2 linked regions of the Elephas maximus indicus genome follow. The protein of the gene in region 2 interacts with the protein of the main gene of each other region in a biochemical or structural test. Links are inferred from orthologs where the notes say so. Each region holds a gene or a part of one and is shown on either strand. Other genes may lie near its edges. The genes, in order: TLE1 and LEF1.

Region 1 (15,474 bases), on a different chromosome or scaffold from region 2:
GGAAACTCTATGGGGCAGTTTTACTCTGTCCTAAAAAAAAAAAAAAATTTTTTTTTTTCTTTTTTTTTTTAAAGGGTTGCTATGAGTCGGAATAGACTCAATGGCACTGGGTTTGGTTTGGTTTTTTTGGTTCCAACCCAGGGGTAGTCATCTTCTAGTACTATATCAGAGAACAGTGATCCAGAGGGTTTTTGTTGGCTAATTTTCAGAAGTAGATCATCAGCCCTTTCTTCCTAGTCTGTTTTAGTCTGGAATCTCTGCTGAAACCTCTCCATCTGGAGTGACCCTGCTGGTATTTGAAATATTGGTGACATAGCCTCCAGCATCGTAGTAACACGTAAGCGACCACAGTACAAACTGACAGACAGGTGGTAGAGCCCTTTATTAGCACATGATAAACATATACCTCTGTGAATCTAAAGGACTCAACCTCAGTATCCAAGATTTAATGCTAAATTCATTTCTTTTTAAGGTTAATATTTAAAGCTTAGTACACAGAGCTATAATCTGTTTCAGCAATATATTTAAAACTAGGGACTTTAAAAAGCAAACTATATACCACTACTAAGCTCTAGTGATAAAAAGGCCAGTAAATAATGAAAATTAAGAAATTAAAATAAAATTTATTTGCTACTGTCTTATTCTTAACATGTAAGCAATTTTCCTCTTGATTTTATAGTAGATTTTCTGGTGATTCTGAGCTTGATGGCCCACAAAATGACACATTAGAGGATTGCTAATGTAATGCCCTAATTTATTTAAAGATTTCCATTTTATATTAATCGACAACTAATGGACATTTGAGACTGTGAGGGGGAGGGGAGGTGGGTGGTAGTGGATAGAAACAGACAAAAAACAAATAGCATAAATAATAAAAGAACTAAAAGATCCAGCGCTACAACTCTGTGTAGTACTTTGGTTATCAGTATGATAGCTTTCCATGACCAAGAAAATAAATAAATAAGATCACCATTTTTTAGTGCTTTTTTAACTAGAAACATTAGAGGCCATTCTTGTAACCATGAAGAGAATTCATCTAACATATGAAGGAAAAGGAAATCCTGGTGGCATAGTGGTTAAGTGCTATGGCTGCTAACAAAGAGGGTGGCAGTTCAAATCTGCCAGGTGCTCCTTGGAAACTCTAGGAGCTGTTCTACTCTGTTGTATAGGGTTGCTATGAGTTAGAATCAACTAGAGGGCAGTGGGTTTTTTTTGGGGGGGGGGGGGGAATGAAGGAAAAGATGGAGACGATGAGCCTAAAAGTTTTTTTCCGAAATCTCTTATCATGAAAAATTTCAAACATACAGAAAAGTTGAAAGAATAGCAAAACCAAGAGCTGAATACTCTACCCTGAAATTCTGTAACTATTAACATTTTGCCAAACTTGCTTTCTCTTTTCTCTCTCTCCACACACACACAGTTTATTTGCAGTTCAGACATCATTTGAATTGTATGCTTCAAATGCATCTTCTTAGGGTAAGAACATCCCCCAACATAAGCGCAATTATCTCACATCTAAAAAACCACTGTTTACCTGATATCCAGTCCACATTAAAACTGCCCCCAAGAAGGTCTTTCATAGTTTTGTCTTTAAACCAGGGGCCGCAAGATTTGCATGTTGCGTTTTCATTTTGTGTCTTTAGTCCTCCCCACTTTTTTTTAAGAGCCCAGGCCAGTTGTCTTGTGGAATGTCCCGCATTCTAAATTTAGGCCATTTAACTTGTTCACCTAGGCCTCAACCCTGCATTCTAGAAACTGTGACGGTTTCTGCAATCGCCACTTGCCTTCACAACCCCAAAGCTCCTCTGCCCTCCACTATGCAGAACACCAAGAGATCATCCATTAGGGTTGGAATCCACTAACAGTTAACAACAACAAAAACAAGTTTTAACCCTTTGAAGAAATTGCTAGCTTCAGGAAGAAATTCTATTTAAATGATACTGACACAGCAAAAGCTCTTGATATTCAAAGAAAGGCATCTCAGTGTAACACTGACTTTATAGAAAGTCCTCGGTCTGCAGCTTAGAATGATCCCTGTATTAAGGGACCAAGGTCTGCTCTTGTTATGCGAATATGCAGGAAGAGGCATCAAAGGTGCTTCCTTTAGCTACTTTTTCTTTTGTCTACCAAAAGGCCCTCAGCTCTTATCTGGCTGAATGCTAAACTAAAGGAATTAAAAAAAAAAGTTGTATTACCTCAACTCTGAAACATTAGAATGGGTTAAGGAGGGAGGGGGGACTGACTTCATTATTATGGTCTGAGCTCCAGGCAGGTATTTGCTGCTGCCCCCAAATACTGTCCTTGCTTTTCAAGGACATCCTGCTGGTGGGCTTGAAAAGCTCTGACAGAACTGTACACCGCTGAAACTATTTGAAAGAAAGTAATCCTGAATCTGTTTTATTCTAAATGCTAAATTTATCAGACTGCCTTTAACACAAAGGAGTGTGCCATACTTGTGCATAAAATGCAAACAGGCTTCTAAGGAGGCATTAAAAGGCAGAAGAACAGGCTACAATGGCATTCATATCTGCACTTTTATGATTGTTGATAAACACATGCTATTTTATTTTGGACTGATATCTCTCTAGAATATAGATTTAAATAAACACACGCTTGGTCCTGGGTGAGGTGGTGTTCTGCAGGCCACTGACACAGTCAGGAGTTTTAAAAGCATGATGGGCCAGCTAAGAAGTTTATCCCTCTGGTGCCTCAGATGCTCAGTTTATTTGAATGCAGAGTGAATGGCTAATCTCCTACAAGTTTTGGGGCTTAAACAAGGTAAACAAATGGGTGGGCTGTGAAAGTAAACACTTGATTTCCTCCCAGGCTCAGCTCTGTCTCCAAAATTCCTCTCCTTTACTCCTTTTACTATCCCAGCCTTCCTGCTCCCAAGCTTGGTCTCTCAGACCCTGTGAAAGTACTGAAATTGCAGAGGAGACATTTTTAATGATAAGTACTACAGTAATGAATTCAAGTACACTCATTTATCATAAAGGGCTCCCCATCTGTCTCTAAAGGATGCTTAAAAATGCTGTGTATTTGATAACATTAGCATCAAGCATCTTCCACGTGTTAATGTTCAGTGTTAGAGGTTCGTGCCCCCCACCCACAAAGACAGCCAGGCTGTGGTTTCAGAAAGAGCACACATATCTATCTCTGTGTTTGGAAGTGCCTGTGTGGTCTCTTGTCCTAATTTATTTGCACTCCAATCCTCAGGGGATCGCACTGCAATCCCCGTAGGGCAAAGGGAGATTAGGGGATGGGGCTGTCTGCCTCTTCCCACCCTCACAGAGAAGGGAAAAAAACTTCCCCCAAGTCCCACAAGTTCTCCTGGCCACTGTACAAATTGTTCTTGAGCGTGGAGCATTTCCAAAAGACCTAATTAGCAACTCACAGCAAACATTTCTTTGCATTAGCTAATGATCCGGCTACACTTGTAAGCAAACAGAACCAACATATCTAATCAATGCTGAAAAACCAACCCAATGCCTATTAAACATCTGGATGTAATTTTCTACTTAGAACAAAATGAAAACACATGCAGGTTCCTTTGATCTGCGTCTTAACAAAGAAATTGTTGATAAAAAAAAGCATACTGGCCAGTCAATGTGTCATTTTCATAAAGTCTACTCATTTCTCTTCAAATGCTCCCAGTTCAATTTAGTTTAGGTTTCCTGCAATCTCTAATTTTACCATATTGTGTGAAACCACAAGAGATTCTTTGGATGTAATTTTATTTGAGGTTTTACTGCTTCATGGATCTGCTACTGATTTTTTTTTTCCTTTTTTGCCTTCTTTCTCTCCTTCTTTTCCTCTCCCTTGTTCTTTGGCAAAGAAGCGGGGAGAAAAAGGTTAAAAAGCAATGCTGGGAAAAGTGCTTATGGATCCTATATCCTTGGGTTTAAAGGAAACTTCCAGTTTTAAAAAAAAAAAAGGTCAAATATATAAAACTATAACTCAGCTAAAAGGAAAAAGATAATGACAAAGGTGGCTTTTCAAAGACTGGCACATTATTTATTTCAAATAAAACAGTAATTTAAAAGAAGATGAATAATTTCTATGATCAAATACCCACAATTTTTCCTGTTGTGTTTAGCACCTAGACTATCACCTAGTTTTGATAACTGCTTATTATTTATACTATCGATATAAGGTCCCTGGGTGGCAAAAACAGTTTGCACTCAACTACTAACCCAAAGGCTGGAAGTGCAAACTCGCCTGGTGGCACCACAGAAGAAAGGCCTGGAGATCTGCTTTTGTAATAATTCCAGCTAAGGAAACCCTATGGAGCAGTTCTATTGTGTGACACACGGGGTTGCCATGAGTCGGAATCTACTGGACGGCAAAGGATTTGTACCTCTGTGTTTTTGTTTATGCTACTGGTGAGTTGAAATGTTTGATACTCAGCAGCAAATGAATGGAAATATACCCATATACGCATCTATGATAAAATAAACTATCTGACAATCTTTCTGTGTCCTCTGCGGAAAATGAAAAAGTATACCGTTTTTTTCAGAGACAATTTCCTGTGAAAGTGGCATACTTGACATTATTTCATGTAAAATCATCATCAACATATGAATATGCTAAAGGTAAAGAAGATTATGGTTAACAGACTTTAAATAAAACCCAACCCAGTGACAGAAGACCAAAATTACAGATTTCATGAGTAGAACTATTTTCTTTTAAACAGACTGTAGGCAATCTACACATATATTATTCATTTAAAACATAAGATTAAAGCTACTTGATTGTTTAAACACCATCATTTGTGATGCAGTTTGATGAGAGTTTTGTAGTATAATTATTTCAGCATGACAATCACGGAGAAAATACGACCTTGAAAAGAGGCAGAGCCTTCTCCCTCTCAAGGAGGATGCTCTGTGTGAGAAAGCCACCGAAAACCAAGCATTTTTAAGCTACAAATGAAGGTCTTCTAATTTTAAAATCATTGTTCTTTCTTTTCTCCAAAAACTCCGTTTTAAGTAAATCAGAAGGCCTGGTGTTTTAAACTCCACTGGTAAGAAAGCACTAGTCAAAAGAGAAATCACAATTTTTACCCACGGCAAACAGTGAGTGAATAGCTATGATAGAAAACATTTAAGGACAACATGTCAGAACTGATTCTGAGGGGTGTGTGGTGGCGAGAGACGAGAAGGAGCAATACTTCTTGCTCCGGTCCCAAAATACACTTTTAATTTCTTTCTGTATGCTTAATTACTGGGATGTCAGCAAGTTCAGGTAGGTAAAACTGGGTACCAGGGAGATGTGTCAGCTACCACAGTTGTCCCAGCGCCTACAGGCATTTTCGTGGCACGCAAGCACCTTCCATCCAGTCCTGGAGCTGATTACGAGATGAGCTGACCGGACACTGGCGGATATGGCACCACCATTAGGAGATGATTTCAAGGAACACAGGTTGCCACAGGACAAAGCTTCACTGCCCACGGATCCCATGATTTTAAAAAGTTCTGTCTGTGGAGCAAGTCTGCTCTTCTCGTCACCAAATTTAACCATTAAAGGAGAGGCAGTGTTCCCTTCTCTTTCATACTCCATGTTAACTGTTAGCTAAAGAATAATATAACCTTCTCCCTCACCCCACTTAAAAAGAGTGCTGCAAAGCTACACTGCTGAACTTGTTTAAGCTATGGCCTATGCAGGCTGCCTAAAATCACTTTTATTTTTTCATTTACAATTGGTATTTAGGACTGATGCAATTATGGCTAAATCAGTATCAGTATTTTAAAACAAACGAACCAGTGAAATGTATTATCTAAAATGATTGGCTATTTCAAGAAAAAAAGTCTCTGTATATTTTTGAATAAAATCTATTTGTGTTTAGGTATGTGCCTTCCCACAAGTCTCTTAAAAGTAAAAAAAAAAAAAAAAAAAGGGAACTTGGGGTTATTAATACCCCAAATTTGTTAGGTTGTTAGGTTCTAACATAAGATGAATGCTTGTCAAAGATGGGTGTTTCTCATGAAAGCAGTCATTATTACTTGGATAAAACAGCATTATTCACTCATGGATCATGTGGAAATAGCTTATCTGAATTGTCCGTTAAAAGTGGAAACGTGACAACATTGAAGGTTTTCTGCCGTGTGGTGTATTTAGAGAAATAGAGAAAAACTGGAGACTCTTAATATTAATTATACAACATGCTCTATTTATTTAAAAATCTCAAAATCCATTTGTTCTGTAAATCTTTAAAGTACAATTTAAAAAAAGGCTAGGAAAAAAAAAATCTGAAAATCCCTTTTTAACTCAAGTTTCATCTCCTAAGAATTTTAGCCATGTCATTTATTCAGCTCTTTCCATTTAGCTCCTTATACAGCTCAGCCCGGGTACCATCCAAACTATGGGGGTGGGGTGGGCGGGACAGGTTTTTCAGGTCTCAGTGTTGGTTTATTCCATTGTCTCCCTTTGTTCCCAGGAATTGGAAACAGACTCGTGGTCATGTTGCTGCAAGGCTCCTAAAACTCTCGCCGCCCCCACCCCCCCCAACACACACACATAGCGAAATCTGGACTTTTAAGGCAAGGAACCGAGATTTCGCGCCCCGGGCAGAGCATCGCATCTACGCCTGGGACACGCGTGCCTTACCCTGGCGGCACCTTGGGGATCCTTCCCGCCAAACGAAGGCAGGTGAACCTTTTTGCAAAGTATTTGAAATCCTCCAATAAGAATCAAATTCTACAACTTTGGGTGCAAAGCCGAGTGGGCATCATGCGGCTGGTGTACCTACGCCAGTCAAAGCTTTGCCCATTATGCATTTTCCCCCAACTGCACAGTTCACCCTTCCTCGCGCATCCGTGAAAAGGCAGCTTTCCGGAAAAAAATACAAAAAACAAACAAACCGCAAAAATATTTGAATGTGACCTTTCACTTTCAAAAGAATGGCATCAAACAAGGGGCCAGCACCGAAAGACGTGTTTGGCTTGAAATATCAAAGAGTTCCCCTCTTCCCCCTCATAAGAAGCTACGCAGTTAGTCTCTGAGTTACTGAGATCTGAGGATTTTCATTGAAGGAAAAAGTGAACAAGTGGCAGGATTTTTGCTAAGTGGAGCCCCCAGCTTCCGCGACTGCACGCTCGCCGGTCCCTCCCGCTCGCGCGCGCTCGCGCGCTCCCTCGCTGGCCCCACGTTACTTTGATTGACAGCCCGGCCTCGCGGCTCTCCTTCCCACCGACCTTCCCATCCTCAGTGCCAATCTCCGCGTCTCGCCGCTTCCTATTGGCTGGCTCCAGAGTCCCGCGGCTCCTTCAGGAACACTTCCTCACCAAGCCCGGGAGGACGCGGCTGGCGGAGGAGGAGCGGGGGTGGGGGGAGACAGGAGAGACGGCGGAGATGGAAGCGAGTGGGGCGGCAGAGAAGGGGAGACGCGGGCTGCCCGTCCGGCGCTGCGCTGCCATAGGCTCCGGGAAGTCTCGACGTCAGCACCCCACGTTGGGCGCGGCGCGCGCGATTGGCTGACGCTGGTCTCTCCGCGGCCCCTCCTCGCTCGGGCCCGCGTCCCCCGCCGGCTCCGCGCTCGCGCCCCCGCCCGCGCGGGGCTGGGCGGGGCCGGCGCTGGTTAGCTCCGGAGTGTGAAACCGCGTGTTAATGTAACCGGCGCGAGAGGCGCGGGCGGCGGCGGCGGCTGCAGGAGCAGCAGCGTCGGGTACCCCGCGCCCCCGAGCCGGCCGACTGCGCCACCCCCACCGAGCGGGACCAGCGCCACCACTCCTGATCTCCGCCGCCCCGCGGCGACCAAACCCCGCCAACTGCCGCCGCCGCGGCTACTCCGGGCTCGCCCGCGGAGTTTGCCCGCCGAAGAGGGAGGCCGAGCGGCGCGCACTCTTGCTTTTCTCCCCGCTATCTCGTTGATGTCATCCCCGGGGTCGTGAGAGAACTTTGCAGCCGGCCGGAGCGCCGTTTGCGGAGGCGCAAGCGAAGAGAAGGAAAGAAAGAGGATCGAAGAAGGGGCTCGGAGGAACGGTCCGGAGCAGCCGTGCGGAGCGACTACGAGCAGGGCGCGGCGCCCGGATGCGCCTGGGGCTCGAGGAGCAGCGGACGGCTGCGGGGCTGCTCTCCGCGGAGTAGCCCCGTCGGGCCGGGAGGGTTTGTGCAAGCGCAGAGAACACCGAGTGCCGGGCGCACGGGGCGTGCCGAGCCTCCTCCCGGCGCACCCTCCGCACTTTCCCCGCCTCGGCGTCATCCCGCGCTCCCCGGGCTGTGCTGAGGCTGCGGAGCGCAGGGCGCGGAGCCTCCACCGCGCCCCCGGCGTCGTTCCACGCCGCCTCTAGGCAGCTAGCAAGCGCCCGGCCAACGGCGTAGCCAGTGGTCGGCTACGATAGTCTCTGGGTTTGTTTGTGTGGGGTAAGCCGGGGCGCCACCTGCACCTCGCCCGCCGCCGCCGCCGCGGGGAAAATCCAGAGAGGAGACGGACCAGGAGAAAAGCAAAGAAAAGCCACACGCCTGGATTTGTTTGCCCAGGACGGGCGCCGCGCGCTCGGATCGCCGAGGGGAGCGCGGCCGAAGTCGCCGAGCCCCCACCTCCCCGCCCCGGCAGTCGAGGCCCGAGGGTTGGAACGTGGGCCCTGTGCCTACTCTTCGGGCGCCAGCGTCGCCGCGCAGGTTCTTGGAGCTGCCGGGCCTAGGGGGCCCGTGATGTGGCCCTGAGCGCTCCCGGGAGCCCGCACCGGCGGGAGCAGGAGCAGCCGCTGGCGCCGAGTGGCCGGTGCGCCCCGCCGAGCGCGCCTGCTTGCGTGGCCAGGGCGCCCCCCGCCCCCTGCGTGTCCCGCTTCTGCCTGCCTTCTCGGCTTAATTTTTCTCGGCGGGATTAAAGTTGGAAATTGAGCGGAGAATTCAGTTGCCCGGGAACAGAGCCGCGGCCGCCGCCAGAGCTATGTTCCCGCAGAGCCGGCACCCGGTGAGGCGCGGCCCGGTGGGTGGGGGGGACGTTGGGGCAGGTTTGTGGGTGCGTGAGGCACTGTTCCTTTGCCATAGGGAAATGGGTAGTTGTTACAACCTAGCGAACCCCTCCACGGATTTGAGGCTAGGGAGGTCCCGGGCCGCCTCCTCAGCGTGGGGAGTGGGCTGAAACTCTTGGCCTCCTTCCACTTGTCTAGACTGGGCAGAGGGGGCGCCCAGGGAGGCTGGGGTTTCTCTCCCGCAGCCACATCCTCCCCCCTTCTCCGAGTTCGGTTGGGGGCGCCCCCCTTTGTTTCTGGTCTCGCTTATTTACATGTCAATGCGGCCCCCGTTCCGGCGCCCCCGGAGGTGGCCCCGACGACTCTGGGAACGGGGAGCGTAAGGGAGTTGTTTTTTTCCTGCGGTTACGGGGGTCGTTATCGCCCCTGTGGGGAAGAGGGACCAGGCACGGCGACGACAATTTGACCCGGTCCGCCCCGGCCTCCGGGAGCCCCCCTTGCTCGGCCATGTGACCTGGGGGCGCTTACCGCCAACCTTCCCGAAGGCTGGAAGAGACTCTGAGCCTCTTTAGAAGCTGGGGGCCAGGGAAGTGTCCTCTTTTCTCTCTCCAAAGTGAGTCGTAAAGTGCAGTTCGGGTTTTCGTTTTGGGCCATTTTTAACTTTATTATTATTGTTGTTTTTATGCCCCACTCACTCCTTGTTCTTACTGACTGCTTTATCTGCCCGCACCCCTATCTCTCCGTCCCCCTCGATGCTCGCCCTCAGACGCCGCACCAGGCTGCAGGCCAGCCCTTCAAGTTCACGATCCCGGAGTCATTGGACCGGATCAAGGAGGAATTCCAGTTCCTGCAGGCACAGTATCACAGGTGCGTGTCCGGCCGCGCCGTGCGAGTGGTTGTCGAGGAGTCCATCTGCAACGTCCCGGTGCCCCTCGCCCAGCCCGGTGGCGGCTGCTGTACTTAGTACGTGCGTCCAGGCGGTGGCGTGTGGAGTCGAAGTTAAGACCTGTCATTCACGTTTCCCCCTTTCCTGGCTCTTCCCAGGCCGCCTCTTCTCTTGTCTCCTCCTGCTTCCATTGTTTCCCTTTTGCCCGTTTGCTGCTGTTCCAGGGAGTCCTTTTTCGTGCATTTAGGAGTTGCATGAGAACCGTCAATATTTGCACTTCATTTAGTTATTTTGCAACAGGCTGAGCTAAAACGTTGATTCAATCGATGCCTTAGCCCTGGAGTGTGGGTTCATGGAGGCAAAGCCAGTGTTGAAATAACTGCTTGTCATACTAGGGAATTGGATTGTCTGAGGCAAAGTCCACCGTGGAAGGCTAGATGCTTTTAGCTGTGTCCATCATTGGCGTTGATTGGGACTGGGTGGGGGAGGGGGTAGTGTGTAGGAGAAAGCTCTCTGCTTTGGCATCTTTCTAAATAGGTTTGGGCAGGACAGGAGATTGGAGTCACACTTTTATATCCATCTCAGCTTTAGTTTTCTCATCTAAGGATACCTGCCTTGAAATGATTTATAAGTGAAAACTGTAAAGTATCTGGCCCATGGTGGACTTTACAGAAACGTTAGTTCCTCCTCTTACTCTTATGAAGTCTTAGCTGGTTGGAGCTACGAAATAACTGTCATGACAGTTTTTATTTTTTGTGGTACATGGAAAAGGCACACAGATGAAGCTAAGTGGCTTGGGTGTAAATTTTCTGATTTTTTTTTTTTTCCAGGGGCTTTCTGATTATTGACCTTTTGTCTCCTCACAGATGATATCTCTAGAGCCTGAGGCATACCTGCTCACACCAAGTTTACTGAGCAGGGACAACTTCCACCCACTTCACTGCAGTAGCTACTTGACATATTTCGGCAGGCATTTCAAAACCAGAGGTTCTAAAAGACACCAACAATTATAGAAAAACTTTACAGGCTTTCAAACCTAGAGCCTGTTGTTTGAGTTGGCTAAGATGACACAGCCTATTTCTGAAAATGGTGCAAAGACTATATTGGTGGGATCAGGGAAACAGTGTGAGGCAGGAAAGTAGGAGTGAATAAATGGTCAGGAAGAAGAAATCAGTCTTCTGGGTAGGTCAGAGGTTTTGATGAGTTTTTCCATCTTGTCGCCTGTGACCAAGAAGAAAAAGAGTGGTAGCTGAGTGGGTAGTTTGTACTGTTTACCTTATTATTCCTTTTCCATACTAAATGCAAGGACAAAGCTTTTGGGTGTTTACCTAGATAGTTTATGGCTTTTCCAAATTGATCTGTGTTTTTACTTGGAGTGCAAATATGTGAGGCAGATGTTAAAACAAGTGACATAATGTTTACATTAAGTTGCCTGTTTTGTTTTCATAGCCTTAAATTGGAATGTGAGAAGCTGGCAAGTGAAAAGACAGAAATGCAGAGACACTATGTGATGGTAGGTATCAAAGTTTGGGCTTTTTTTTTTTTCATATAAATATTAGCAGATATGTGTTCTTAGCGTTACAAGAACGTGAGTTAATGAAATGCTTAATGCTTTTTTTTCTTTACAGTATTATGAAATGTCATATGGATTAAACATTGAAATGCACAAACAGGTAAGCTTTAGTTACGTACAAAGCTGAAATGAGAAATTAGTTCATTATGATTTTATACTGGCTTTGTCCTCAGTAGTGGGGGGTTTTGTAAGCCTTTTTTCTGCCTTGGTTTCCCTTCCTGTGAATTGGTGTAATATTCTGCAGCAAGGGTTATTTCTTGACAGTTATAGGATGTTTACATGACAAGGTGAGAGCTTAGGAAATATAAACTTGTCTGTTTATAGGCAGATAGGAATTGAGACTGTGAATTTACTTTTCAATCGGGATAGATTTATTCTCCTCTTGAAAGATCTGGGTATCCTTTAGAGTTGCTGAAGTTGAGAATAGCTGCTTTTGTGCTGGTTTTGGTTTCGAAAAGAAATATGGACCTGCGGGGGCGAGGAGGGTATTCAAAGAGTTTCTCTAATTGCCTGAAACAAGGTATGTGACTAACTCTGGAGTTCCCTTGGTGCTTTGGGACTGCATAAAGAGACACCCAGATTCGGTGGCTTATTAGCAAATGTCTTTTTGAAAAATGCCTCGGTTGATGCAGGTTTGGACAGGAAAAAAGCACCTCTTTATGGCCACAGCATATGTTGGGAGTTCCTTCAGTCCTAGTGGTTTTAAAAGCATGAAAAGATTAGTGACTGGAAAGCTTTAGCTATGACTATGAGTTTGCAAGTTCCCATAAAATTCACACTTATGGCTACTATAATGGTGTATAAAAAGAGTATTGAGCTGGAACAAGGCACTAAGGACCTCGTAAGAGAAGAAAAGCTAAATGATTGCTCAGCCCAAAGGACCCTTGATTGAGTAGTCATTGTCTGCCAAAGAAAGCATTAATGGCAGGGTGTAAGTATTCCGGAGATATGCTGACATTCACTTTTTCATCAAGACGCTGGTACAATAAGTCTTTTAGAAATCGATTGCCTCTTAAAAAAATTATCATCAGATGAAGTTGCACAGTTGGACACATTTCAAAGTGCAACAATACAATTCTTACTTGATGTATATGTGCTATTTCATCTGAAACCCTTGTTTCATTAAATTAAAGAGCATGGCTGACCGGCTGGGGCACAGTGGAGAAATTGATTAGTTCAGCCTTCAGATCTTCCTTATATTCAAAGAGTTTCATTAAGCAAGTGTGTTTCAGAGTTGAATTCTGCTTTTGTAGCTCTGCCCTCTTTGATTTTTAATTCATCGTAGATTTCATAATGTTATCTCATACAGTAGATGTGTTCTCAGATATGTATTTGGATGGAGATAGTTAAGGTCAGGGCCTTTTATCAGTAATATAATTGAGCTTTTTAAAAAGCCGATGTTACTCTGATTTGCAGAGTTGGTAACCGAGTTTGTGTTGGGTTTCGCCTTTGTTTTTGTGTGTTTGGATGGCTAGTGCCCTATTGAGGTAGTTGTAACTTGTTGATAATTGAGCTCGAAGATCTATGGCTAAGCTTCAGTCATTTAAATGAATTATGCAAATAAACTTGGCCTAGGAGTTTTAACTTGTCGCTTTTTTGTTAAAAAAAAATTAATCTGAAAGGTACTCTTTTGGTAGCAGATATACTGAAAGAATAAGAGGAAACTGAGCTTTCTCTTAAGCTCATAAACTCAAGAGGATTTAATAAGCTCCCTGACTAATTTACAAGGGAACACCACTCCTGTAATGTAGTATGTTGGTGCTGGATTTATGGAGGGCACTAAAAAAAAAAAAAAAGGAGGTGTGTAATTCTTCTGGGTTCGTTACATGGCGGAGTGACCTTTACTTTTCCTTACTGATTAGGAAGAAGGGGCAAAGAATGCCAGAAGCCTCCTGGTGTGGAAATAGTTTTCTGATGAGTTCCTGTATTCCATCAGGCATTGGTGGGTCTATAGTGCCTGTCCCTGAGCCTGTATGCATTAGTTCTATGCTGTGTATAACTGGCTCAGTAATTTGACAAATGTGAAAAGCTGAGAGACAGGCACCGTGTTCTTTATAGTGGGGTATTAAGCCCCCCGAAATTCAGTTTATATTGTAAATGCTGACAGACCCTTATCTGGAGTGGTGTGCAAAGCAGTGCTCTAATTCAGTTTAAAGTGGCCTTACATTTGAAAAACATCCTTCTGAATGTCACGCATTAATAATAAGCTCTGAGGAGGCATTTGGTGCAGCTAGTAATCATAATTCTTATTAAAACCGGTGACGTCTGGCCCCCAGGGTGTAGCCAGGCTCAAATTGATGCTTTTTGCCGCCTGATCACCAGCATGGCCTAAGTGCTCATTATATTGTAGAGAGGGCCTTTGGAGCTCTCATTAGATTTGACAGGAATTCTCTCTAGGGGGAAACTGGGCATTAGTGAGACTCCTGACAGGCTGAAATTATTCCTGCTTTATGGCTTATAACCAAATGCTAGCAAGGCATCATCAGGGGACACAAAAAATTGTCATTTCTGACAACATCTTTGTTACTGAAAAAAATGCAGTGATGGGGAAACTTTCAGTGGAGAAAGCTTTAATGTTGTTAAGATTTGTCTCCTGTGTGACGACCGCCCTCCCTTCCCACCTTTCAGCGGGTCTGTCAGAGGAGCGAGCTTGAGAGATTTCAGTGTCAAGTCTCACCGCCAAGTATTCTTTCTGTCTGGAAGTTTTAAAGTGGAAGTGCGTCCAAATCAAGAATGGTATAATTGTGGTTTCCTTCCTTGGTTTGGTGCCCGCAGTCCATGTTTATGTTGTGTCAACACTTCCTGATAAGCTTTACTTTCTCTTCTCTCATTTGTGGCTGGTTACAGAGAAGTCTACGGAGTAGGCATGCTAGTAGATACTTAAATCTTTTGTTGTAACTTAAGGGACTTTTTTTTGTTGGAGCCTTTGTTTTCTAGATCTCTGCCTTTCTACTGGGGACAGTGGTGGTTCAGTGGTAGAATTCTCACCTTCCATGCAGAAGACCTGGGTTCGAATCCCGGCCAGTGCACCTCATGTGCAGCCACCGCTTGTCTGTCAGTGGAGGATTGTGCATTGCTGTGATACCAAACAGGTTTCAGCAGACCTTCCAGACGAAGACGGACTAGGAAGAAAGACCTAGCAACCTGCTTCTGAAAATCAGCCAGTGAGGACCTGGTGGATCTCAGTGATTTAGTAGGCAACTGATCATGGGAACGGCGCAGGACTGGGTCCCATTTTGTTCTACTGCGTGTGGGGTTGCCAAGAGCTAGGGATCGACTCGATGGCAGCTAACAACAAAAAACTTGGCTTTTCTCTCAATCTATAAACTAGAGATCTATAAAGTCTGTATCTCTGTACAAGAAAGAGGTAGAGACATCTAGGATAAAAATTAATGCAGTTCTGATACCAGTTGAAGCAAGTTTAGTCGTTTTTAGGGCTGTGCCTTGTGTGTGTGGCAGCGTGATCTTTAGCTTTTTTTCTGTCATGTGGGTTGATATTACCTCATTTGATCTTTTGGGGAACAAGACACTGAATTACATACAAAAGCCTTATTTATCCTACTGGTGTATCTTCTCAGCATGTTGAAGTAGTCATGCTATAAGCTACCATGAGTGGCTTAAACTTGCACAGTGCTTAACAGTTTCCAAAAGTGATTTGTCTCCTGTGACTTCCGCAGTCATCTGGTGAAGTAGTTTGGGTAAGTGTTTTGCTCTGCTTGCACCTTTGGGCATGTGTTCAGAGTCTGGGACTTGATCAAGGCCAAGCATCTGTGGAAGCTTGAGCTGGGGTCGCCTGGCTCCCAAATCCGGGGCTTCTTCCCTGAACTGAACCTACCCTGCTGCCATATGGGAACTGAGGCCACGGGAAAAGCACCTCGGGCCTCTGTGTAGTGAATCCCATTCTCCCAAGCTGCATCTTTTTCTTCTCTTGAGCTGCCCATGCTGCCCAGCCTCCAATTTGTAAGACATTTCAGAGCTAGACCTGAGCCAAACCCTTTGTCATTGAGTCGATTCCTGCATATAACAGCTCTGTAGGACAGAGTAGAACTGCCCCATAAGGAGTGGATGTGGATTTGAACTGCCGACTTTTTGGTTAACAGCCG
Region 2 (15,009 bases):
TGCATTTGTATATTTAGTTCAACAAATACAGAGGCACCCATAAATTTTAAAACCCAGAAGCATTTATTTGGGGTGGTCTCTAGATACTAAAATATATTTGGTTTTATCAATGCATTCACTTTTGATATAGGACAGTCATGTGTACCACACAGACATCTCTAACATTAAATATTTGAAAAGCCTTTTGAAATAAAATGTTAAATGCCCATCTCCTCTAAAATCATCATGAAGTTCTCCCAGCTCAACTTTAGTTGTAATATGAAAATTACAAAAATCTTATTTTCCACCTGAAAGGTCAAAGATCTGCTTGAAATTTGTAGAAAAATAATTAAAATAACTTCTAAATCACAGGGCCCACGCAAAGCAGTTATGATATTTCATATAGCTATCATTTCAACAGTTGAGAACTACGGATAATCAAGATAACCACAAGTACTCCTGTTTGTTGATACTGTTGATTATGGTCCGCTAGTTTAGAGCATCTTCTCCCTCCCAGATTCTATTCACTACGGTATCAACAACAACACTTTCCTCAGATATTGTGACTGATATTTCCGCTGGTGGCAACACTGAGCGAATAAGGCAAGAACAAGGCAAAAATCACTGGTTTCATTTCAGGATCCTGGATTTGAACCCAGGGGGGCCAGTTAAACTGAAACCCTAATGCCCAAGACCTAGCCACACGTGGTTTTGATCCCAGGTGGGTGGCAGAAGAAAAGTGAGGCTGCAGAGAGAGAAGGTAAATGTATCGATGGATCAGTAAAAATCCATCACCACCACTGCAGGGACAATTCTCAGGCCCTTGGGAGAACAACTCAAGCACCAGTACACTGCCCATACTACACAAGTTCCCCTTTAAATGTTTTCTTACAACATGTAAGAGATTATTTACACTTCCCAAGAAATGAAAATATCATCAAGTAGCATACCTGAAATTCTAATGACTTATATTTTTAGAACTTTGAAAGCTAACTGAATTACCAGATTTAAAAAAAAGGAATAATTTTCATTAGAGTTATCTTCAAGTGATACACTCTCAGCAACTTAAAGTAAAAACAGCTGATCATCCCCACAAGTGATGTTAAAACCCTACGTCAACTATTTCTCTAAAGCTGATTCTAGACAGCTTATGGGCAGTGAAACCTATCCCATACCTAGCTGACAGCAAGATTAAATCAACTTTTTCTTCTCATCAGTCTAAAATGTACAATACTCACAACACCATGGATTTGTTGATTTAACTTCATTTGATTTCACGATGACTCATAATCTGTTATTTATTAATCCTAACCAATAAGCCAACAGCTAAAATTCCAAGGGCAAGACATCAAATGTAGCACTATTTCAAGGCAACCATTCATCATAATGGTCCTAATTAAGCAATGATTGGTCATATACAATAATGAAAGAATTTCCAATGTGTTTGAAAAGATAAACATTCTGCCGAAATACAAATTCATTTGTACCTCTGAAATACTCTACAACATCAGGGTGTTACTCACTGTTCTCGGGATGGGCGGAGAAAGAGATCCATTTGACATGTATGGGTCGTTATTCATGTTTGGCATCATTATGTACCCGGAATAACCCGAGTAGGAGGGTCCCTTGTTGTAGAGGCCTCCATCTGGATGCTTTCCTGGGAGAGTCCAAAGAACAATCAATGATATGGTACCGTCCCTTTGTATATCACCGTAGTTTTTCATCTGAAAATCTGATAATTCTAAGAAAATCTGGCCATACGTAAAAGATTTACAAAATACCGTAACTGCATTACCATGTTCTATTGCAGATCGACACTATTTATTCTCTTAAATGGTTTAGCAGCAAACCAGATGTTTTAAAAACATGTGGTTCAATTTACTTCCACTATTGACTGGTGTTTTTACAAAAGTAAGTGTTATCCATCTAACTTAATTTCTTCTAATACTAACAAACTGGACTAAAAAATAAAGACACATGAAAGAACATACACAAATCTAAGGCTATAATATAAATACATTAGGCCGTCTACCTACACACACACACACACACACACACACACACAATTACATTTCACCTCACAGGCAAACTGAAAAATTCTACCTCGGCTTTTGGATTTCTGAAAGAGAACTATTTTACTAAGAGGGAGTTGTACCCTAGTATTTGGGCAACTACCCAAATTTATGAAGGATTAACTACAGGATTTTTATGTGCTTCACTTACATCATTCTGTCAAAGTAATTTGTGTGTGTTCAGTATATAGATTTCTTCTTTTTCATCTGTGTAACCATTTGTAGCTGAAAAGGAAGCCTGCTATTATAGTTCTCTTCCCTTCTTTGAAATACTGTATGTATGAACACTTCATTCTGGTCAGGCCAATTTTAAGTAATTAAAGGAGAACAGAAATGCAGACCAGTGGACAAGGAAATCCTACAGATTGCCTGGCTCTTTCAAAGTCAGAGGGAGTTCACCTTAAATCTCAAAAATAGGTAATTTTAAAAGTTTTGAGCAAGAATCAGAAATGGGGAGACAGTCTGGTTATCATGTTTGATATGCCTAATTCCTAACTATAGGAATAAAACTGTATTTTTCAAGTTAGGTTCTGCTTTCCTAAGCCTTGTGCAGTTTCTGCATTCACTGCTGCCTTCTCACACAATAACACGACTCAAGAAACACCAATTTTGCAAATGAAAAGCCATTCAAAACTCTTCTTGTTTTAAAATAAAACAGACTGTCATCCTTCATAATAATACACAGAAAAAAAATACTAAAGATCTAAGCTATTTCAAAATTAAGGTAAAATGAAGAAAAGAGAAAAATTCATTATAGACGTTTCCTTCCCCCAAAGAATCTGGAAACCAACTGAAATCCAAAAGCTGCTAACTCACTCAAAGACATTTTTTAAATGATACAAATATACATTAGAGATAAGCCGTAACTTTCCTGGGTTTTCTTCCCAATTTTGTGAAAACAGTCAACACAGTCTTATCACATCTGGTTTGGGTTTCTTGAACTCAAATAAAAGTAGCCAAGCATCTATAAACACAAACGGTTTATGTTAAATTATAAAGTTTGAAGAAGTAGAATCTATCATCAGTGTCTTACCTTCATCAGGGTGTTCTCTGGCCTTGTCATGGTAGGACTCCTGAGAGGTTTGAGCTTGTCTGGCCACCTAACAGCATGAATCCCCACCCCCAAAAGAAAGAAAAGCACCTTAGAGTTTTTGACAATAATAATATAACGGTGTGCCCACTGGTTACTCAGAGGAGGTGGTTTAGGGGCAACCCAATCCGCCTGTGTTATTAATCCAAGAAGGGCAGGCTAGGGTTGAATAGTAGGAAATCTTTTCCCTCTTTTATTCAGCTTGTATTTTGGAGTGACTATCATCTTTTTTTTTTTTTTTTATCATCTACTCAGAATTGTAATGTATAATAATAACAAAATACTAGCAATATAGTAAATTTGGGAATCATCCACATACTGTTCTGTTTCCTAAAACACATCAAGGCTACTTGGAGGCCTAACATGATAGGTGTTTGAGTTAATGGGGTGAGTGTCCTGATAGCCTCTTCAGCCTCTGTTTGCTTCGGTCAGAGCTGATTAAAAGCATGCTGAAACACTTTGCAACTCAAAGTGACATTTTAAACATAAGCAAGGCAACCACTCATACATGAGGTTCTAATGCCGCTGGCCTCATCAAAGTCCTGCAGGAGCTCCACTCCAGCTCCGTATCTACCATGGCTGGCTGCATGCATGCTTACAAGAGAAAAGTACAACTATTTTGCGGTTATAGGGAGGAAAATTAGACAGTCAGGTTACAGACATCTAAAAGGCAGCCCAGTTACCTATCAGTTCTGGTAACCACCATCCACCCAGACTCAACCACGTGCAAATCAGTGGTATTACCCCTTCACCATCTTCCTTTACCGTAGGGCTGCCCTATGCCCCCTCGCCACCGTGGCAAAGATTAGCAAAACCCTATTACCCTGGTACTCGCTTCAAACGCAGTCTTTCTTCCCAGACGAGAGAAGTGTACAAAAATTTGAAGCGGGTGGCAAAATTTATGTAGGGACTAAGGAAGGTCATGGAAAATGAGTAGAAAGAAAAAAGGGGGGCTTCTCTTTAAATATGAGAGTTTGGCAAAAAGCGTCTGAGTGTTTCGGACGTTAGGTGGTCCCTCTCACACATGTCCTTTCAGGGACCTCCTCTCCCCAATACATATATAGCCACAAACGTTTAAAGTGGAGTTGGGTGCACCTCCGTCACCCTGAACTCTCCTCAAACTGGCATATTGCGATAAAAGATTCATGGGATAAAGAACATTCTTGTGCCCTGTGCCCTCCTCAGAACCCGGGCCCCCAGCCTTCCAAAATGTGTACTCACCCCTGCCATTTGGATAGAGAGCTTAACTCTGAGGTGTTCTTAAACGTGTTGTTTAAAACCCCAAATTTCCCCGCCCCCAAAACCACAAGCTTTCTTTTTTGGGGCAGAAGGATGCCATTTAAGGAAAAAGGGTATACCCTCCAAGTTTCTTTGGAGGGAAAAAGCGTTGGTGAAATCATTTGGGTGTCAAGACTCTTCTACCGGATTTCCTCCAAAGGTTTCTCAGTTGTTGAATTAAGGGTGGCCAATTGAGTGTCAGGTATCAGGGTCCATCCGCCTCCACCCCCATCGAAAAGTCTCCGCGCCGCCCGAAATAGCCCTCCGACGCTGGCCTGCTCCCGGCTTTCTCTTGTCGGCACCCACGTGTCTCTATTTACTCTACTCGGGTTACCAGCGCTATCGCCCCCACCGGGCCAGGAGATCTGATAAAGCGCCTTCCACCCTCCCCTGAGAGGTGCCCCGGCTTCCGGCGCATCTCTTCCAAGACTCGCCTTTCTTCTGCAAAGATTTCAGGCCTGATCCGGGCCCAAACTAACCTCAAATATAAATGCTTTTTTTTTTTTTGAGTAACTGGAGTTGGAGAAATAGAGTGTGCGGGCGGTAAGACGACGTCCCCCTGGGGTGGCTCGGCTGGTCTTGCCCACAGATCCCACAGCGCATCTGGCCCTTGGGACTCTGGGGCGGCAAGGACCTGGCCCCGCACCGCCCCCGCGCGCCCCTCTGCGGGCCGCTCGGCGGCGGTTGGGACTGCCCGCCTGCCCCCGGCCCACTCCCGCCCCCCTTCCTCTCGCTCTGCCGGTCTCCACCTAAGCCTTTTGGTGGTTTAACGCACTTCTGCAGAGACATCTACCGAAAAAGATAGCGGGTGCACTTTGTTTTCCGTCCTATGGAAGAACTTTTCAGCAGTGCTGTTCAGACACTCTCGCTCTAATTCATCACACTCCCTCAACCGCACCAAAATGTCCGGAGGTGAAACGTTATAGGTTAAGGGCAGCTTTTCCTGCCCGCAAGACAACGGCTCACCCACCGAACCCCTAAACTGATCCACTTGGTGTAAGCTGCCCTGCACGCCCCCGACACGACAAAAGGGGAATGTAGACTAAGGGCCACCATCCCCCTAAAAGTTTAAACGCTGGCGCTACTGCAGCCCCGTCAGACGGGACTATCCCACGCCTTCTCCCCCTTCCTTCTTCTCCTCTTCCCCAGGACCCAGCCGCGCTTCTCGGGGTTTTGGGACAGCCGCCCGCTCACCTCGTGTCCGTTGCTGGCTGGGATGATTTCGGATTCATTGACCAAGGAAGACTTGATGTCGGCTAAGTCGCCTTCCTCTTCGGGGTGACTGATCTCGGCGAAGATCTTCTCCTTCTGGGGGTCGCCCTCGTCCTTAAAGGGGATCATCTCGTCCGTGGCGCAGAGTTCCGGGTCCCCCCCGCCGCCACCGCCTCCCCCGGAGAGCTGGGGCATCCCGACGGCTGTGTAATCTCCGCTCGGCTTGAGGAGCACCCGCGGCGACAGCAGCAAAGAGAGGCGGTCAACGAAAAGGAGGGAGGGAGGGAAAGGAGAGTTGGAAGGGTGCGTGAGAGAGGAGAGCGAGCGGAAGCGGAGCCGGCAAGTGCGGGGCCGCCAGCCGGCAGCCGGAGCAGCTGCGGCGGCGCTGGAGCTCCGGCGGCCGCCCGCGCCTTCCCGCTCTGCGGAGACCGACGCCGGCGCCCGCCCCCGAGGCCGAAGGGCACGGAGCTAAGAAGGCAGCCGCGGCCGGCGCCTCTGGGGGCGTCTGAGCCGCGCGCGCGCTAGGCTATGCTGCCCGGGCCTGGGCGGCCACCCCACACCCCCCGCGTCGCCGGGGTCTGCGCGCGGAGCACGCTGGTTCTGCCCAGGGATAGACTCGCGAAAATGCAAAGGAGGGTCCGTCAGCGCGTCGTGGCGCAAACCTCTCCACCGTATCTTCCAGAGATGCCGATGTGGGAGTGTGTTTTCCGAGAAAAGGGGAGTTGGACAAAAAGACTCGGTTCACCCTAGCGGAGAAGGCGCAAGGAGAATCAGAAGTTAACGCAATGTCCACTTCCTGGAGGGGTTAAAAAAAAAAAAAAAAAAAGAGCAACCAGGGTTGGAGGTGTCCGTTTTAGAGCTTATTTCCTTCCCTTTCGACTCAGTTTTCCTTCTCGAGGCGCATTTAATCTGCTGGAGGAGGAGGAGAAGAAGGCGGGGGCGGAGTAGGAGTGGAAGAGAAAGAGAAGAACTTTGCCAAGAATAAAGTTTGTGCCGCCGAGCGCTGGGACAAGACAGTGGAGGGAGCGGCGGGGTCTCGGGAGTCACAGCAGGGGTCTCGGTCCCAAATGCTTCTGCCCAGAGTTCGAGTCGACGCACACACAGCCAGACCCCTCTTTGTTCCCGGCTCGAGTTTCTCAGCCTGGCTCGTAGACTCTCTCTCTCGCCGCTCTCCACGCCTCCGCGAGGCCCGCTCTGTCAAAGCAAATAGCTGCGCTCCTCGGGTTCCCTCGGCCGAGGGGTAAAGGAGGTCCCGAGATTGGTCGCGTGCGGGGCTCCGGGAACGTCCGGACTCCCCGACTCCAGAGCGCGCAGTCCGAGTTCCTCCTCCGCGCCCTGCCCCGCAGGTGAGCGGCTGCGCCTCCCCACCGCTTCTCCTCCTCCCGCGCCACGCCGGCGCTGAAAAGCTACACACTTGCGTCGCTTCTCCTCCCCCTCCCCTCCCCCCCGCCTCCAGCTCTTCTTGGCTGCCGGCTCGGAAGGGGGGGGGGGAGGTGCGAGAAGGAGGTGGTGATTGAAGGCTTTTTTTTCCCCCCTTTTCTTTTCCCAGAGCCTGTAGGACTAGTCCTAGTTTTGGGGGGTGTGTGTATGTGTGTGTGTGTGTGTGTGTATGTGTGTGTGTCTGGACGGATGGTCAGGCAACTTGAAGAAAGGAAGGAACGGGCGCTGCTTGTAACCCACGGAGACACTCGCTTTGTCTGCGTGCAACTGACAAACTCTGCGCGACTGGCTTAACTTCATCATCTAAGCATCTCATCCCTTGTCCTTCTCCCCCCACCCCCCCATTCCTCTTCCTCTGGCAGTTTCTCCCCCACCTCCTTTCCGCCTCCCTCACTCCCTCCCTCTCACTGGCCGGGGGAGGAAGATGAAAGAGAAGCCGCCGCCGCTGTGATCGACACCACGTTGATAGATGCTCTGACAGGGGAGATGAGGGGGGAAGCGGGGACAGAGAGAAGGAAAGGGGGAAATATAACAGACCTTCCTCAACTAATAAGGGAGAACGGAAGCAAGAAGCAAGGAAAAAGAGTTGTGGTTTATCACACATACGCTATTTGGAGACAAGGGAGGAGACGTCAGCGAAAATAAAATCTTCAGGCTTACCGAGAAAAATAAGACGAGGAAGAAGCAAAGAAGACTGGATCTTAATTATCGCTTTTAAAACAATATCTCTTTCATTATGTCTTCGCCACGGGATATACGGAGTTACGCTAGATCGCTCGTGGGGTTTTCGAAGATATACACCGCAGTGTGTGTGAACCTCATAGAGAATGAAAAGACAAGCCAAACGGGAAGGGAAAGAGAAGGCAAAAGGACCCAGGAGAGCGAATCCAAGAGAAGAAGGAGGGAGGACTGGGCAGTCCCTGGCACCTTGTACTGCGTGCTCAAAGGGACGCTTGAAGATTCAAATCCGAATCCAACCTCAAAAATTCTTCAGCCTCCACCGTCTCTTTGACGCATTTTGTACAAGTACAGGACTTTTAAGGAGATGCTTTGTGAAAGTTACAGTATAAGGGAAGCTGAAGTTTGAAAACACATTACATTTTGTCCCTTGGCTCTCAAACCCTCAGTTAAAAATCCAGGCAAAATTATTATAGCCAATACAGTAGCCATCTGTAAAACCTCGGAACAGTAAACAGGGGGCAGGAAGAAATGTCTCCATCTCTCTTGAATTGAAAATGAGGGACACACTACGAAATCAGACTTTAGCTTTATTACATAGGAATGACCCTGCAAAGACCCTTCTTTTCTTAATGGGACATTGTAGGCTGGACACTATATACAATACTTTAAATGAGCACTTAAAACTTCATCTACTGGTAACTACTCGTGGGGGTGGGATTTTACTATGGAAGCAATATTTAAAACTGTACCTTTTAAAGACTTCACTCGGTCCCATAGAACATGTAAATTCTACCTGGGGGATTAGAGTAAAATTAAGGGGCTGGTGATGGGAGCCAGGAAGAATAAAACACTAAATCTCCTTTAAATAGCTAGTAATACTATGCCTTAAAGGAGAAAAACAAAAAGAATATTCAGCTAACAGCGTGTCTGTAAGGCAATACTAAAAAGGGTGGAAAGAAACCCAATTTTTGTTCTTTTGGGTGGTGGCAGTATGCAGCTTCTCTTAAAGTTATGCATCACTGTGAGTACAGTGCTCCCCAGAGATGTGAACACGTAGCTATGTCAGACATGTATGCCCTCTGCTCTAAAAGAAATATGGGAAAACAAAGTCAAAAGTCCTCCCACAATTGCGCCAATTCACCTATAGGAAGAGGACTGGAAAATACAATTTCAGCAGAGCAGGCAGAGTAGACCTTCCTTAGCATCAAACTGTCCAGGATTGGGTGGAGGGAGCGAGGAGGTGTGAGCATCACACAGAATGGCCAGAAGGTATTTTCTAGAAGCCCAGGAAAGATTTCTAGAAGCCCAGCGTCGCTGGGTTTTGGGACATCCCCCCCACTCCCGTTTAAGTGTTGCAATTAATTCGAATCCCATTTTCTCCTTAATGTTAATTGTCTGGACTCTCAAAGTCTTTTGGAGCTCAGCTCCAGGTGTCTTGGAGATTAGGAGCTAAAGAGGATGGGAATTTTTGGAACAATAACTAATGGGAATTGTTTACCAGAGGGGCCAAGAGTTGGTGGCCAGTTTGTTATTTTGCTGTAACCTCCTCCTTTGGAAACATTGTTTCTAACGAAATAACCCAACGCCCTGCTTATTGGTGTGACCGTTTGTCCTCCCCGCGGCGTGCGTTGGTGTTGCCTGATGGTTTTTAGCGTTGTTGCAAATCTTCTTATGGGAGGCACTTAGTCTTTAATAGATACCAGGGACCCAAAAATTTTAAAGATTTGTCTGGGAGCGAGTTGGCATTGCCACGTAAAGTGTTTCTTTTAGGGCAAAAAGCGGGGCGTTGCGGGGGGGGGGGGGCACGGTAACCTTAGGAAGACGTTCCCTCTCTCTCCAGGTGTGGTGTAGTCCCTGTCAAGGGCATTTCTGTCGCCGGGTAGCCTCTTCTAATTCAAGTGGGGGCTGCTGTTAGCATATTCAGCCGCCTCCTCCGGTGCCGCGAGTGGGATCCTAGGGCCGGGATGTGGTGGGTGCGGCGCGGGATAAACACCCACTCCCTCCCCTCGGATGTAGAGGCAGGTTGTTCGTGTGAACTCGAGCAAACGACTGGAGGTTGGCTGTTGCAGGTTCACTCCTCCAGGATGTGGGTTTCAGGGGGCGTTTTGATGTGATTTAATTCCGACCGTGAAACAATTGCTAGGGGCTGGCTGGATTGCTGTTGGTTTTTCCCCTCCTGGTGGCTTTGGTTGGTTTGTGTGGGTTTAGTTTGGGAGCGAACAGCGACTTGTTTTATATCAACACTTCCTTCTGCACTGGGCGCCGTAGCAGGCGCTGCGCGTGGGGCCAGGGGATGGGGCTCCCACCCGGCTCCGGGACAGAGGGGGAGGGGGCGAAGACAAGCCTCGCTGCCCACAGAGTAACCGGGGCCCAGCCCCCACTGGGAGGCAGAGGAACAAGGGTAATGACCCACACCCACACCAAAAGACCCCCCCCTCCCCCGGCGCTTTTGCTGCCAAGTCAGTGGATTCTGCTACAAGACACTCAAGTGAGTCCTTAATTACAGGGAGGAAAGAAAAGCGCGGTGTCTTCAGAGTCCTCTCCACCCCCTCGGTCCTAACCCTCCGCCCCTGCTCCGGGTCGTCCCTTTTGTGTGGGCTGGAATCTCTCCCAGACCCAGCTTTGGTGGGATCCCAAAGGATGGAGGTGGTGGGATCCTACGGAAGAGGATGCTCCGAAAGAGAGAAGCGAGGGAGCAGGACTAGAAGAACGAATAACGTGATTCCAGAGGCCGAACTCGGGCACCCTCTGTTCCCTAACCCCAGATTCACCAGGAGACAAGCTGTGGGCATCTTCAGATTAACGGACTTCGCGAGAAGAGAGAAAAGGGGGGGGGGGGGGCGAGGGAAACGGCAGTTTGTGTCCCAGGGGCTCTTCCGCCCCTTGCCTACTCCAAAGACAAACAAACTCAAACCCTCACCCGCCGGGGAAACAGAACTCGTGGGACCGTGAAATGTCGTTCCCAAATCCGGCCGCCTGCGACCGCCAGGCTTCCGCAAGGCCGGCGCCCGTTGGCGTCCGCAGCTCGGTGCAGCCTCGCGCGGGTGGAGCGAGCGGGGCCCGCCTGCGAAGTGTTTGCAACCGCCCGTCCCTTGCGCCCTCCGTGGGCTTCCTTCGCGCTCCTGCGGGTGCGGGGAGAGCTCGGCGCGGGAGGGCCCCGAGGCGCGACCGTCGAAGGGCCGGGTCCTCCCACGGCCGCGAGGGAGAACCACATCTCACTCCACTCTGTGGGCTCTGCCGGCCGATCCTTTGCCAACACGGAGGCCAGAGCCCACGGCCCGAGTCTGCCAGGTGGAAGAAGATTCAAGCCCGGGTGGCCGTGGGCAGGAACAACGGAAGGCGAGGCTGGGGGAGAGCGCAGAGGAATCGGTCAGAAAGAGCCCAGTAATGCGCCCTCGAGAGTCGGTTCCGCGACGGGAACATCCACTAGCCCCCAGCAGGAACCGGAGCTCCTAGGATGGTGCTTGCGGTAGTTACAAACAGTGCATGGGGACCGGCGTTACGTCTCTAAGGGGATTTCCTGGAATGGAACTGGAATGGAGGAGGGAGCTGCAATATATTTGCGGGCCACGAGACGCCTGGCCTAGTGGACCCTACGTGAAATTATCATTTTCCTCCTTTCTGCAAACTTTCTTAGGCGCTTGAACTTGGCGTGGGGACCGACCTCTGGAAGTTGGCAGCTAACACAGAGGAGGCGGCACTCCCCTACTTCCCCTCCCTCCACACCCGGTCCTCGGTGGTCTCCCAAGTAGCCCTCCCCACGGGCCGGGGGCGCGCACTGGATCTGCGGCGCGGACAGGCCGCCCGCGCGCAAGCTGCGCCTTATATCGGCAGAGGGCGGCTCCTGAGCAGGGCCGGGCGCGGCGGCGCAGCCTTTGAAGTCGGGGCGGCTGCCGCTTTCATCCTTTCTTTTTTCCCTCGCAGGCCCCTTTGTGTGACTAAATTTGGCAAGGATATGGAGCCGAGCCAGTCTTTCCACGTGTGCTCCCAGCTCCCAGCTGAGAAGGCCAAGGGTTCTCTTCCGGGTAAGGAGACAGGGAGAAAGATCAAAGAGTTTGGGGAGCTGGATCTGAAATGTGAATTGAAAATAAAAATCAAGCCTGGACACATTCCAGTTTGTAAAGCAAAACCAACCCTCAGCAGAAGCCTTCTCGCTATGGCTCTTTCTCTCTCCCTCTGCTCTCTTGCTTTCCCTGCAACCATCCTTGAGCACATGAAATGAGAAGAACATAGGGAAGCACTTAGTTTCTCCAGATTTTGTTTTGCAGTAATTTTATTAGGGAAAAGATCTTGTTCATAATTACCGTTATGTGAAGCCGAATTTCTTCAGCCATAAATATTGTCTTATTTCAACGTGCTTCCCACTTTCTTCTGCAGCCACGTTTGGGGAGTGAAGACTGACACAACACGTGTGCATATGTCCATTGTGCTGTGGTGCTTTTTGTTTTTCAGGCTCCTGACGGTGGACCGCATGATTTTTTTCCACAGATATCCTGAAAAACCAATGTTGGTATCATTTTTTTTTTTTTTAATCAAAGCACTCACTATCACAGCTGGTCTCTGATTTTGAAACCTTCTTGTTATAGACTGTAGAGATCTTTTCCTACACCAATTAGCCACAAAAATTTGTATCTTTGTGGTTAAAAAACTGTAAAATCCTTTCTTGAGTACACCCCTTGACTGGTATTCTGTTGTTTTGGAGGTAGCCAAAAAGAGAGACAGTTTTGAAGCAGTGTAATGCAAAAAGTCAGAAATGTTGAGTGTGAGGTGGGATCTGCCATCCCCTTTCAAGCCATGTGTGACCTCAGGCAAGTTATTTAGCCTCTTCCAGACTCAGTTTACTCCAAAAAATGGGTGTAATAATAGCCCACTGGACAAGACTGTTGTAAGAATTCAGTGAGATAATGCATGTGAAAGTATGTACAAATTTAAGGTATTATTAGTCCATGAAATGAAGATGATCATTATAAAAAACAAAACAAACAAGCAAAAACCCAACCAGTTCCCTTGGAGTCAGAATCGACTCCTGGTGACCCCGTGTGTGTCAGAGTAGAGCTGGGCTCTCTAAGGTTCCCAGTGACTGATTTTTCACCATGCCTGTCTTCAGTGGCGCCTCCAGCCTCTTGACTCCGCTTGCACCACCCAGGAACTTACCTGTAAATTGCAAAACAGTAACGGATATACTTCTAAAGTACTAGAAAATCTTACCACAGGAGCAAATGGGGATGGTTTCACACGGAAACGTCCACTGCTGTGGCCATCTCCACATCTCTAACAGTAATGTTATGAAGGCCACCAAGATCACACCCCAGCATTTTTTCCGAGAGTGAGTGCTGAGGGAGAAGGAACATTTCAAGGTGAGAGGGAGTTTGCTCTAACTCTGCCTCGTTTTTTATAGTGAGCTTTTAACAGATTCATGGATGGAAAAAAAAAAAAAAGACACTTAAAAACATGGAATTTTTATGTGTGTGTGAGGCATGTGACAGGACTCACAATGGAACTGAAAATAGCCTGAGTAGTATGATGGACTGTCAAAGGGATAATGTATATGTGGATAATATACTAGTAACAATGACAGCAAAAAGAACTTGTGGGAACTGACTGTAAAGGTATATAAGAGGTGTTTCTCGGGACTGTGTAAATCCCATCAGAAATTGTTTTATGTATTTTTAAAATTTTATCATGCTTTAGGTGAAAGTTTACAGTTCAAATTAATTTTTCATTCAAAAATTTATGCACGTATTGCTTTGTGGCATTGGTTGCAATCCCCACAATGTGACAGCACACTCTCCCTTTCCACCTCAGGTTCCCTGTGTCCATTCATCCGGTTCTTGTCCTGTTCTTGTCTATTTGGTCTCATATATTTGATTGAACCAAGAAGCAACATGTGTTATTTTTTGTTTTATAGGTCTGTCTAAGCTTTGTCTGAAAAGTGGGGTTTGGGAGTGGTTTCAGTTCTGAGTTAGCAGAGTGTCCAGGGGCTATAGTCTAGAGGATTCCTCCAGTCTCTGTCAGACCAGTAAGTCTGGTCTTTTTTCGTGAACTTGAATTGTGTTCTACATTTTTCTCCCGTTGTGTCCAGGACTTTCTGTTGTGATCCGTCAGAACAGTTGGTGGTGGTAGCCAGGCACCATCTAGTTCTTCTGAGCTCAGGCTGGTGGGGTCTCTGGTTCATGTGGTCCCTTAGTCCTTTAGCTAATATTTTCCGTGTGTCTGGTTTTCTTCATTCTCCTTTGCTCTGGGCAGGATGGGACCAATAAATGTATCTTAGATGGCTGCTCACAAGCTTTTAAGATCCCAGATGCTACTCACCAAAGTGGGATGTAGAACATTTTCTTTATGCACTACGTTATGCCAGTTGGCCTAGATGTCCCCAGAGACTATGGTCCCCAGCCCCCAGCCCCAGCTACTTGGTCCCTCAAAGTGTTTGTATGTGTCTAGGAAACTTGTATGCTTTTGTTTTGGCCCAGTTGTACCGACTTTATATTGTGCGTTGTCTTTCCCTTCACCAAAGTTGACACTTGTCTGCCATTTAGTTAGTGATTTCCCCTCCTGTTCCCTCCCTACCCCCCCAACCACCAAAGAATGTTTTTTTCTGTGTGTAAACCTTTCCTTGATTTCTTATAATAGTGGTCTTATGCAATATTTGACCTTTTGTGACTGACTTATTTCACTCGGGATAATGCCCCCCAGATTCATCCATGTTGTGAGATGTTTCCCGGATTCATCATTGTTCTTTATCGTTGTGTAGTGTTCCATTGTGTGTACGTACCATAGTTTGTTTATCCATTCACCAGTTGAATGGAGAACTCATGTTTTAGAACAGAATGTGTTTACATATCTCAGGCTCGAGGCATCTTAAGTTTACAGTGCAATAAAGATTATGGCTCCGGCTAGCTGTGAAGTGAAAGGAGCACCACATGGCAGTACTTAGGGCATTTAGCCATGTGTGCGTCATGTGGGATCCTTTCTAACCTAAGGTAACACCACCAGTGGAGTCTTTTCTTGGGTTCAACCTCCCAATATAAACTCATCAATGTGACCTGTATACAAAATGATGAAAGTAGGGGTGGAGGTGGCTTCCAGTGCTTCTGTCTCCTCCTGCCCATTCACTGTGGCCCAAGGCTGCCCGGGGCGCAGATCCCTCCTGAGATGCTCCATCTCTTCTGGCTGTCTCCTGATAGCAGCAACACTCAGCCTTTCCAAATAGTGTTGAAGGGGCTCTGTAGCATTTTGGGGGGGTACTTACGAGACACC

Evidence for each region.
Region 1: the proteins of LEF1 (region 2) and TLE1 form a complex in vitro, tested with the Homo sapiens proteins (2 studies listed by BioGRID and IntAct, with this or other methods). The link is inferred for Elephas maximus indicus from reciprocal best matches to the Homo sapiens genes LEF1 and TLE1.

The regions. Positions count from the first base shown.
Region 1 is NC_064827.1:98,611,077-98,626,550, reverse strand, and holds the start of TLE1 (transducin-like enhancer protein 1), read left to right. Parts: upstream 1-7,526; 5' UTR 7,527-8,887; coding exon 8,888-8,911; intron 8,912-9,678; coding exon 9,679-9,779; intron 9,780-11,247; coding exon 11,248-11,311; intron 11,312-11,426; coding exon 11,427-11,471; intron 11,472-15,474. UniProt on the Homo sapiens protein: Transcriptional corepressor that binds to a number of transcription factors. Inhibits NF-kappa-B-regulated gene expression. Inhibits the transcriptional activation mediated by FOXA2, and by CTNNB1 and TCF family members in Wnt signaling.
Region 2 is NC_064823.1:43,112,956-43,127,964, reverse strand, and holds the start of LEF1 (lymphoid enhancer-binding factor 1), read right to left. Parts: upstream 7,038-15,009; 5' UTR 5,827-7,037; coding exon 5,614-5,826; intron 5,035-5,613; exon of another isoform or gene 4,372-5,034; coding exon of another isoform or gene 4,363-4,371; intron 3,152-4,362; coding exon 3,085-3,151; intron 1,637-3,084; coding exon 1,503-1,636; intron 1-1,502. UniProt on the Homo sapiens protein: Transcription factor that binds DNA in a sequence-specific manner. Participates in the Wnt signaling pathway. Activates transcription of target genes in the presence of CTNNB1 and EP300.